Linked DNA regions of Tribolium castaneum. The protein of the gene in region 3 purifies or fractionates together with the protein of the main gene of each other region. This does not show direct contact. Links are inferred from orthologs where the notes say so. Each region holds a gene or a part of one and is shown on either strand. Other genes may lie near its edges.

Region 1 (4,215 bases), on a different chromosome or scaffold from region 3:
AAATTGCTCAAACGTCACAAGTACAAAATCACGTATTGTAAATAAGAGAGAACGAAGCAATATTTTGTGTATCGTATATATTTTTTAGATAATTTTCAGCCACTCAAACAGGAGAAACATGTGCGAAATCACCCACCACTGCCAGCATATTGAGGGCGGTTACCTCATTTGTATCTAGAGGTAGAGAGTTGTTGAATAAATATGTTTGAATCGCTTTTATTTCTGAAGTAACAATCGGAAATCATCATTGGTTTTCGGTTTGACATCACCATTCGTCGCACTCTTGACTTGCAAGGACCTCGGTAACATCGGGACTTGTAATCGGCTGCGTGCATGCCGTGTTGGTGTACTTTTTGCAACTGTTGTTGGTTTCTTGACAGGGGGCGCGCTAATTGCCACACTGATGGTAAAGTCCCCGACTGTCATCCCATCGGTCTTTTCCATGGCTTTCTTAGCACTTGCATCGTCCTCAAACTCAACATACGCGAGTCCTTTTGGCTTACCATCTCGCCGACACACCAAACGCACGGTTTTCGCCCCAAAAGGCCGAAAAATCGCCTCAATTTCCTCCTGCGACTTGTCATAGGGGAGTCCCTTAACGAAAAGTTTATTGGTCTCGGGTTCATTCGAGTACTTAAAGCCGGCTTTCCGCTCCTCACGATTCGGCTTACAATTGGAAATAAAAATAGGGCGGCCGTCAAGCAGCTCCCGGTCACGTGCCAGCGCCGCCATGACACTCTCCTCAAGGGCGAACTGCACGTACCCATAACACCGGGACTTCCCCCGCTTATCGACCACAATTTCGACATTTTCGCAATTGGGGAAGAATTTCCTCAGTCGTTTTTCATTCACACTAGTGTGTAGATTACTGACGAAAATTGTGCGAGTCGGGTCTTTGACCACCGCCTGCTTTTTGTGTTTCTTAGGCGGGGGTTCGGCTTCGCTCGGGTGTTTTCGTTTGGTTCCGGTGGCTTTCGGCGGCTCAATCGTTTTTAGTTTCGGTTCGATTTCTTTGCGTTTTTCGAGGCATTTTAGAACGTCGGGTAGTTTACCGAACTCGCGTTCGAACTCACGCCATTCGTCGGCGATAAACAGGGGCCAGTCGGTGCAATTGGTTAGGGCTTTCTGGAAAATGGCGCGGACTTGCGGGGGTTCCCCGAACTGGCGTTCAAGCCGCGCGTACTCCAGCCAAGTGTTGGCCAGGATTTTGTGGTTCGGGCTTTTGAGTAGGTTTTTCCAGAGGTTTCGCGCCCCTTGCATGTTGTTATTTTTGGCCAAAATTCTCGAATACCACTTTGTGATTTTGAGGGCGCCTTCGTCGTTATATTTTAGTTGTTCTAAGGCTTGGTCAAAAGATTTGAAAACTTTGGCTTGGTCTTGGCACGTCCGTGAGACGTATTCTAAGTAGGCGAGCCACAGCTCGCTTGATTGGGCGCCTAAATTTGACACAGCCTGCTCGAAACAAGCGACAACTTCGCTATTATCCTTCTGGAGACTTTCAAGGACTTGTAGGCGCATAATCCACAATTCTTGACTCCAGGGGCAATTTCTCAAAGCCTTAGTTGTGATTTTTTCAGCTGGGGCTCCCAGTTTCAGGCCGTAGAGACAATAATCGAGCCAAATCTCCGGGTTGAGACACATCTGGGCCGTTGCGCGTTCATAAAGACACAAAATTGTCGAGGGGTCCGTTAGGACTTTGACGTAGTCGCGATAAACTCGTAATAGTTGCGATTCGTCCGTTGTTACTTGTAGTTTTTCTTCGAACGGCTTGTAGGTCTCTAAGGTTTTCAAAGCCTTGTTATAGCCCCACTCCACCGGTTCAGCATTGATTTTGTGGTCTTGCACCTGCGTTAGCCACTCTTTCCACTCCTTGTAAGTGTTTTCCATGTCAAGGAGCGGCACTGAGAGTTGGCGCCGGAAAACCTCCACGATTTTTTCCACTTGGGTTTTCCATGGCTCGCTCCCTGCCTCCGTCAGGGACAAATGGGCGAATTCCAGCTCCCGGAGAGTGTCCCACAGGAGGCTCCCATCGGCCACGTGTAACCCAGCGGCGGTTAAACCCCTCTCGATTATCACACGTGTCGTGTCAAGGGTGCTAACCCCAATCGAGTACTGCGCGTACTCCACCCACAAATTCACAGCTGAAAAAACGTGTCAGGCTTGCCAATCTAATTTCAGGCTACCTGACCAACTTACACAAATAATCCTCCACGGCTTTATCAAAAAGCCCGAAAATATTCTTAATCTCGCTCTCGGAGCTCGCTAACTTTTTCTCGTCGTTGATCCACGCGAGCCAGATCTCGGGGGTTAGGGGGAAGTACTCTTGGAAGCGTTCGTACGCCAGACGCATCGACTTCAAGTCCCCCAGTTTTCGGTACAAGTTGACGAGCTCTTCGTGGGCATTGTAGAGGTACTTGTTGTCGGAGATTTGGCGTTCGAGGTCTTCAGCACGAGTGAGGAGGGCCTGAGACACTCTTAGAGTTAGAAAAATTTTGGAGGATTGTGGAGGCCCTTACTTGCTCCTCTTGGTCGTCCCCGGAGTCGGAGTCCGAGTCCGAGTTGACCGACATTTGCTCGTTGGAATCGTCGTTTATTTCCATCGTAAAAAGTACGTTTTGACAAATAGGAAAGTTGGGTTATGTTGATGTTGGCAAACAGTGACAGAAGATTTACCAGTCTAATTTTGAGCAGCAAAGTTACTAAATTAATTTGAAACGATACCAATGGAATACACTTCTAATTAACAACAATTTAACAGTTTTGTTTGTTCAGAAAAACCGAAACTGGTTTCAATGTTGAAATTTATTAGCAAAAATACTGTAAAACTGTTTTTCTGGATGTGTATTGCTGGTTGCGCTTTACGACCATAAAATCTCTAATTTAAACGTGGTGTGAGTTGATTAAATTGAATAAAAGTTTTTTAGTAAAAATGTAGTTTTATTTATTGGTCTTTGCTCCGAATAAATTTGAGACCATCTATGCCATGCTTCTGGTTGGGTGTGCACATGCGCCTCAAAAAAGATACGAGCTGTTTGAATTGAAGATTTGAATTTGTAAAACTATGAAGCAATCTTAAATAAATAAAACAAGCAATAAAAATTGGTTAAATGTCTAGTTTTATTTACAGTTGTCGGCCAGCAGAAGCAAACAAAATCACAATCGGAAATAAAGTTTATATTGTAAACAATTTACAATTTTGTACAATTGCATGAGATTCATCGCTTGCACTGTAATAAATAATCTCTTTCAGTTAATATATATTTGAATAATGAACGCTATACAAAATATAAGCTCTTGTCCAACAATTTGTAAAAATAAAATCCAATAATTACTTGATATTTTATACTTCTTATATAATCACATGCTTTTATTACAGTACAGTTAGAGATTGATGGATTTATTTAAATATTTCAGTATATCGCTACTCTCTACTTAAAAATATATGAATCTTTATCAAATCTTTAACAAATAAATAAACCAAAACTGGAGACCAATTACATCTTCATTCGATTTTCATGCGCCTTCTTCACTATAGCAAGCTTGGAATGTGGGTCCAAAACCGCCAATTCCGTATAAGGGGGCTCCTTTGTGCCGTGCAGCATCAAAGTCCACTCCTTGACAAAGCCCGTTTGCGGCATCTGCGAATTGAAGCTGGCCTGAAACAAAAATAATAATAATAAATTTGACTGAAGATATTCAATAAAGTATCGAAACGTCGTAACGAATTTAATTTAATTTATCCTGTGTCCTACAACCCCAATTTCCACGTAATCAAGTTCAAACATTTCAAAAATAAATGTAAAAAATTAATAAAAACCACCCACCTCCAACACCCACGTCCCTTGCGGGTACTCCCCCCACGTATGCGTGGTCATGAAAGGCCACTTCGTAAACCCATCTCTCGTATCATCGTCGTTTTGCCTTCGACTGAGAATCATAGACCTGGTGCCCATCGGCGACGTGAGGAAGAGCTCCAGGTCGCCCCTCCGACTCGCATTCACCGTTAGCACCGCCTGCACGTGCTCCAGATACCTCACCTCGGTGCTCTGCCCCTGGCACGCCGTCGTCGTAATCTGCATGACCAGCTTCTTCGCCGAGGGTATCTTCTGGACCTGGGTGACGGACCCGGCCTCGCAATGGAACCTCGGCGGAACGGTCTTCCACTGCTTGGCGAGGGCCACCATGGCACCGGCGTCCAGCACCCCAAACCCGAAC
Region 2 (2,827 bases), on a different chromosome or scaffold from region 3:
TTCTTTTAACAGAATCTCCAAGATTTTTATTCAATGTTGCTAACTCAACCGAATAGTTTGTGTCATAAAAAATATTGTATGTAACTCTGGTAGAAATTCCAACTACGGGAAGTCCGCCGTCTCGCCGTTCGTCTTTTTCTCTGAGTGACGATTCGGACGAAGCAGGGGAGGCTCTGCTCCAGGAATGTATTTTAGCAGGAATGCCCTCGAAAGCGTCAATTTCGGGGGCCCCTGACGTGCCAAAAAACTTACCTAATCCGGACCTGTCACGTAACCAAATCATTGAAAGCGAATCGTCGGACGAAGACGATAAAATTTTATCAGAGTGCATAAACATCGGAATTACAAAAAATCGGTAAAGAAATCAGTAAACCATTCGATTTTTTTTAACTAATTTTCATAACAGTTATACACAACCAAAAATTGTAAACGATACAATTAAGAGTTACTGCACTGAAGACACTCCTGCCATTTTAAGTCACGCCGGTTCTTGCTCTGATCTCAGCGTCCTCTCTATCCAAAACGGGGACGAAAAAGAATACTTTTCCGACCTGAGTAATTTTTCGTCAGAAGAAGACGAAAAGTTATTGGAGGAGTGCGTCAAGTTTGGAATGGCCGTAATTGCCAAAAATAAATCCAACTACGAGTAAGTCACTTTTGTGTTCTTCCATATTCTAGTAATAATTTTTTAGTAAAATGGGCGAAACTTCCGGGTCGAGACAAAAAAGCAAAATTGAAAATTTCTCCTCTAGTGAATCAGATTCGGACGAGTCGGAGCAAGCCCTCCTCCAGCAGTGCATCGAGGCCGGGATGCCCAAGCGCCCCCAGTCCCCCGACTTGACCCCCGCTGAGAAAGCCCTCCTCGAACAGTGTATCCTTGAAGGGATGAAAAAGTGCCGAAACGTCCCGAAAAAACCCTTCGAGGACGACTCCTCGGAACTGACGGAGGCCGAACAAGCCCTCCTACGGCAGTGTATCCTGTCCGGAATGCCCAAAAATAAGAACCTGACTCAAGGGGGCCCCTCGGCCGTGAGGGAATCCCACGAATTGAGCGAGGCCGAAAGGGCACTCTTACAACAGTGTATTTTGGCCGGAATGCCAAAAAACAGGCGGCGGAAAGAACGGGTGGAGAGACAGGAGCACACGTGTTGCGTGCACTGTCCCCGAAAGGGGGCCAGGCGGAAAAAATACAAAGTGAAGGAGAGTCGCGATGTTAACATTGTGTACGTCACGAGTCAAATTGTGGTGAAGAAGGAGGTGGATCGGGGGCACGAGGAGTGGGTTTGAGGGCCAAATGTTGTGTAATTGTGATAAATAAATCAATTTTTTTGCAATCTATGTTTTTTTAATTCAATGGAATGTATAAAATGACCGCTTAAACCGCCACGAAAAGTTGTGTTTTAAACTAAGGAACGTGGGAAAAGCCGTTTAAGTGGTAAATAAGTCGAATTAATTAATTTTCCGCCCATTTTAATGACTTAACACGCGGCGCTCTAGCGGTTGTTACGTCAATGAGTTGCCCCTAACCTCACTTTTTCCAAAACAACCCCCTTTATTTTACATGTTATAAAAGCGTGAAATATGAATAAAACCGAACTGGAAGGCACCGCGCACTTGTTGGACGAGCTCGACAGTAAGTCAAAGGGGCAATAACCCCAAAACTGATCGCTTCTTGTAGAAAAATTAATGGTCCTCTTGCGCGATGGTAGGACCCTAATTGGTTATTTACGAAGTGTTGACCAGTTTGCAAACTTGGTTTTGCACCACACGATCGAACGCATTCATGTGGGTAAAGAATATGGGGATATCCCCCGTGGTGTCTTTATAGTTCGAGGCGAAAACGTAGTCTTACTGGGCGAAATAGTAAGTCAGGTTTGAAGTTGTGATTGTTTAAACTTTGCCAAGGATGCAGAGAAAGAAGCCGAACTGCCGCTGACTGAAGTCTCAGTGGATGAAATACTTGACGCTCAGAGACAAGAACAGGAGTCCAAGCAAGAACAACAGAAATTAGTGTCAAAGGCGCTGAAGGAGCGGGGGCTGCACTTAATGGCCGACTTGACGCACGATGATATGTTTTAACTTTTTAGGTAGAAACACAACGCGAATTATGTCACTATTTATTAAATTTTTCTCATTTGTTATCTTTCTTTAATAAATATATTTACAAAATGGTCCTGCTTTTGTACTACAATTAACTAAAATGAGGTTTCAAATACTATGGGTTGTCCATTTTCATCGAATTGTTTCGGTTTGAGAACAAGTTCCTTCTCACTTCCGGGGTCATTTCCGTCCAAACAACTCAGTAACGAATCAGTCATTTTGCTCGGACTCAAGTCGGAGTTGAAATCATCAGTCCGACTGGAAAAACTCGAATCTGCGGCGGGCGACGAAGTCGTCAACATGCTCCGATTTTCCAAATACTCTCGAAACGTCTGACTCAACGAATTATCCTTCTCCACCTCCTCGGGGACTTCATCCATGGCCTCAACTGTTTCAATCTTCGCCAAGGTGTTGATATTCGTCCCGGAAACAAGCAAGACCGGCTTCCTGCTTCTGGGAGTCATCATAGTTTCCTAAACGAGACACAAAACAAGTCAGAATAGATGGCAGCACTTGTGGTGAGTTCGGGCAAAAGCGACACAAAAGCAAGACAAGCGATTCGACTGCCCCCATACCTGCATGGCTCTGGTCATACGCTGTGTGGATCTGGTTATGGGTGACATGGACTTACGCTCCTGGTCGTCGGGCGTGAAATGCAGAGCAACGCATGCTGGCGTGCTCGTTATTCCGATACCTGTTTCGGCATCAGGCGTTTCACCTTCAGTTT
Region 3 (2,380 bases):
CTTGTCTCAGATCAGTCGGTTTGTTTCAAGTGGTTCAGGAAAAAATGAATTATTCCAGCGCCGCACGTCGGTGCCAGGATTTGGGGGGCGACCTGGCTGATATTTTGACTGAGGCAAGGACGAACGCACTAGCTGCGTTACTCAAGTCTTTGCCTAACTGGTACAAGGGGGCATACGTTGGCCTTGACGACATTACGGTTGAGGGGAGTTTTGAGACTCCAATGGGGGACTTTTTGCAATGTTCGCGGTTTCGGGCCTGGGCTGTGGGCCACCCAAGACCAGGACGAAGAAAAGAAGACTGTGTCATGTTAGATGTTGAAAAAACGTGGAGGGCACTCAATTGTAAAATTAAATTGGACTTCATCTGTGAATTTTATCCAACTCCTCCGGACAACACATTGAATGAATTTAAATATCAGAACTGTAGTCTCGTTAAAAGTAAGAAAAAGAAACAAGAGTGTGAGACAAATAACGAGTTATTTGAGCTATACAACAGCTCTACGAGAATCGATCAGTGCGCTTTAATGAACGACTTTGAGTTTTGAAACGTTTTTATTACAAAAAATACATTAGATTCTACGTTTTTGTGTACTTATGTAGAGCACATTGTTGCCCCTAATAAACGCATCCCCGAATTTATTTTTGAGTTGTCCGTTGACGTATTCCTCGGTTTGCTCCAACGCTATGTTCATGTAGCCATCGAGACAAGCCAAAACACCTAAAAACCAAATAATAGCCCCCTTCATTGACAAAAAACAAACATAACCTCACCTCTGTAATCTACACCACTATTCAACTTGACCACAACAGGCCTGGCGTGAATTTGTTGAATAAAAGACGAAAGGGCTTCTTTGCGACTCATCCTTATCAGCTTGTGGCTCAAATTTGCTTATTTAACCGCCTCGGCTGACAAAAACCTAACCTCAAATCGGCATGTACATAACCCCACTTCCTGTTTTTTTCACGCAAAACCATGTCGAAACCGCTAACATTCGTCACCGGCAACGCCAAAAAGCTCGAAGAGGTGGTTGCCATCCTCGGCTCGACATTCCCACGCAAAGTGGTGAGTCAAAAAGTGGACCTCCCTGAGCTCCAGGGCGAAATCGCCGATATTTGCGTGAAAAAATGCCAAGCGGCGTACGAAATCATCAAGGGGCCGTGTATCGTCGAAGACACGTGTCTGTGTTTCAACGCATTGGGTGGTTTGCCCGGTCCTTATATTAAGTGGTTCTTGGATAAGTTGGGTCCTGAGGGGCTGTTTCGACTACTGGCTGGGCATGAGGATAAGAGTGCCCAGGCCGTTTGTACTTTTGCATATCATCCGGGCGATGAAGGGGGCAAAGTGATTCTGTTCGAGGGGCGCACGGATGGAGAGATTGTGATGCCGAGGGGGCCGAGGGATTTTGGATGGGATCCGTGTTTCCAGCCAGTGGGGTACACGCAGACGTACGCCGAGATGCCCAAAGAGGAGAAGAATAAAATCTCTCATCGGTACCGCGCCTTGGACGCGCTGAGGAATCATTTTATGAACCAAGAGAAACAATAATGTTTTGTCGTTTTAGTTTTATTTGACTTTAATCAACTTAAATAAATTGTTTTGTTTGATTTGAGTGCTTTTTTGTTACGCTTTTCTTATTTCTCCGGCAGGTTTATAACAAAACAGTCCGGGGGGTAGTACTTTTTAGTACTCAAATGCCATTATTGAAAGGATAGTAATAAAGCGATCAGTAAAAAATTCGATTTTAATCAGTAAAAAATAATAAATCATCAGTATTTAATTCATTTTTGCACAGTAAAAAATTTAAATGACAAGTAAACCACGCACAGTATTTTTTTAAAATTTGCCCAATAAAAAAATCGTATATGCACAGGATCTAGTTTCAGTTTGCACAGTTTAAATAATAAACGCTCAGTAGCTAGCTTGCAGTCTAGGGCTTCGCCCCAGCAAACTAAAAGGAAAAATACTCCTCGAACGATTAAACTCAAAAACGTAAAATTGGAAATGTGAAATTCTACACACTCTAGTTTTGAGATGCTATTATTTACTGTGCATTTATTATTTTTACTGTGCAATTATTATTTTTACAGTCCATTTATTATTTTTAGTGTGCATTTATTATTTTTACTGTGCAGTTATTATTTTTACTGTGCATTTATTATTTTTACTGTGCATTTATTATTTTACTGTGCATTTATTATTTTTAGTGTGCAATTATTATTTTTACTGTGCATTTATTATTTTTAGTGTGCAATTATTATTTTTACTGTGCATTTATTATTTTTACTGTGCATTTATTATTTTTACTGTGCATTTATTATTTTACTGTGCATTTATTATTTTTAGTGTGCAATTATTATTTTTACTGATTAAAAATACTTG

Evidence for each region.
Region 1: the proteins of U6 snRNA-associated Sm-like protein LSm6 (region 3) and Rnp4F purify together in Homo sapiens (affinity purification with mass spectrometry; 4 studies listed by BioGRID and IntAct, counting the BioPlex papers as one, with this or other methods). This does not show direct contact. The link is inferred for Tribolium castaneum from reciprocal best matches to the Homo sapiens genes LSM6 and SART3.
Region 2: the proteins of U6 snRNA-associated Sm-like protein LSm6 (region 3) and LSm1 purify together in Homo sapiens (co-immunoprecipitation; 3 studies listed by BioGRID and IntAct, counting the BioPlex papers as one, with this or other methods). This does not show direct contact. The link is inferred for Tribolium castaneum from reciprocal best matches to the Homo sapiens genes LSM6 and LSM1.

The regions. Positions count from the first base shown.
Region 1 is NC_087396.1:21,413,599-21,417,813, reverse strand, and holds Rnp4F (squamous cell carcinoma antigen recognized by T-cells 3), read right to left. Parts: upstream 2,806-4,215; 5' UTR 2,601-2,805; coding exon 2,517-2,600; intron 2,465-2,516; coding exon 2,197-2,464; intron 2,142-2,196; coding exon 217-2,141; 3' UTR 201-216; downstream 1-200. Other genes in the region: amon (neuroendocrine convertase 2), read right to left, coding at 3,495-3,656, 3,825-4,215. UniProt on the Homo sapiens protein: U6 snRNP-binding protein that functions as a recycling factor of the splicing machinery. Promotes the initial reassembly of U4 and U6 snRNPs following their ejection from the spliceosome during its maturation.
Region 2 is NC_087400.1:5,966,532-5,969,358, forward strand, and holds LSm1 (U6 snRNA-associated Sm-like protein LSm1), read left to right. Parts: upstream 1-1,499; 5' UTR 1,500-1,581; coding exon 1,582-1,633; intron 1,634-1,678; coding exon 1,679-1,863; intron 1,864-1,905; coding exon 1,906-2,079; 3' UTR 2,080-2,171; downstream 2,172-2,827. Other genes in the region: adenomatous polyposis coli homolog, read left to right, coding at 94-355, 407-646, 693-1,287; rho GTPase-activating protein 19, read right to left, coding at 2,196-2,573, 2,676-2,827. UniProt on the Homo sapiens protein: Plays a role in the degradation of histone mRNAs, the only eukaryotic mRNAs that are not polyadenylated. Probably also part of an LSm subunits-containing complex involved in the general process of mRNA degradation.
Region 3 is NC_087398.1:10,391,069-10,393,448, reverse strand, and holds U6 snRNA-associated Sm-like protein LSm6, read right to left. Parts: upstream 911-2,380; 5' UTR 863-910; coding exon 772-862; intron 719-771; coding exon 570-718; 3' UTR 546-569; downstream 1-545. Other genes in the region: uncharacterized protein LOC100142353, read left to right, coding at 1-545; inosine triphosphate pyrophosphatase, read left to right, coding at 974-1,546. UniProt on the Homo sapiens protein: Plays a role in pre-mRNA splicing as component of the U4/U6-U5 tri-snRNP complex that is involved in spliceosome assembly, and as component of the precatalytic spliceosome (spliceosome B complex).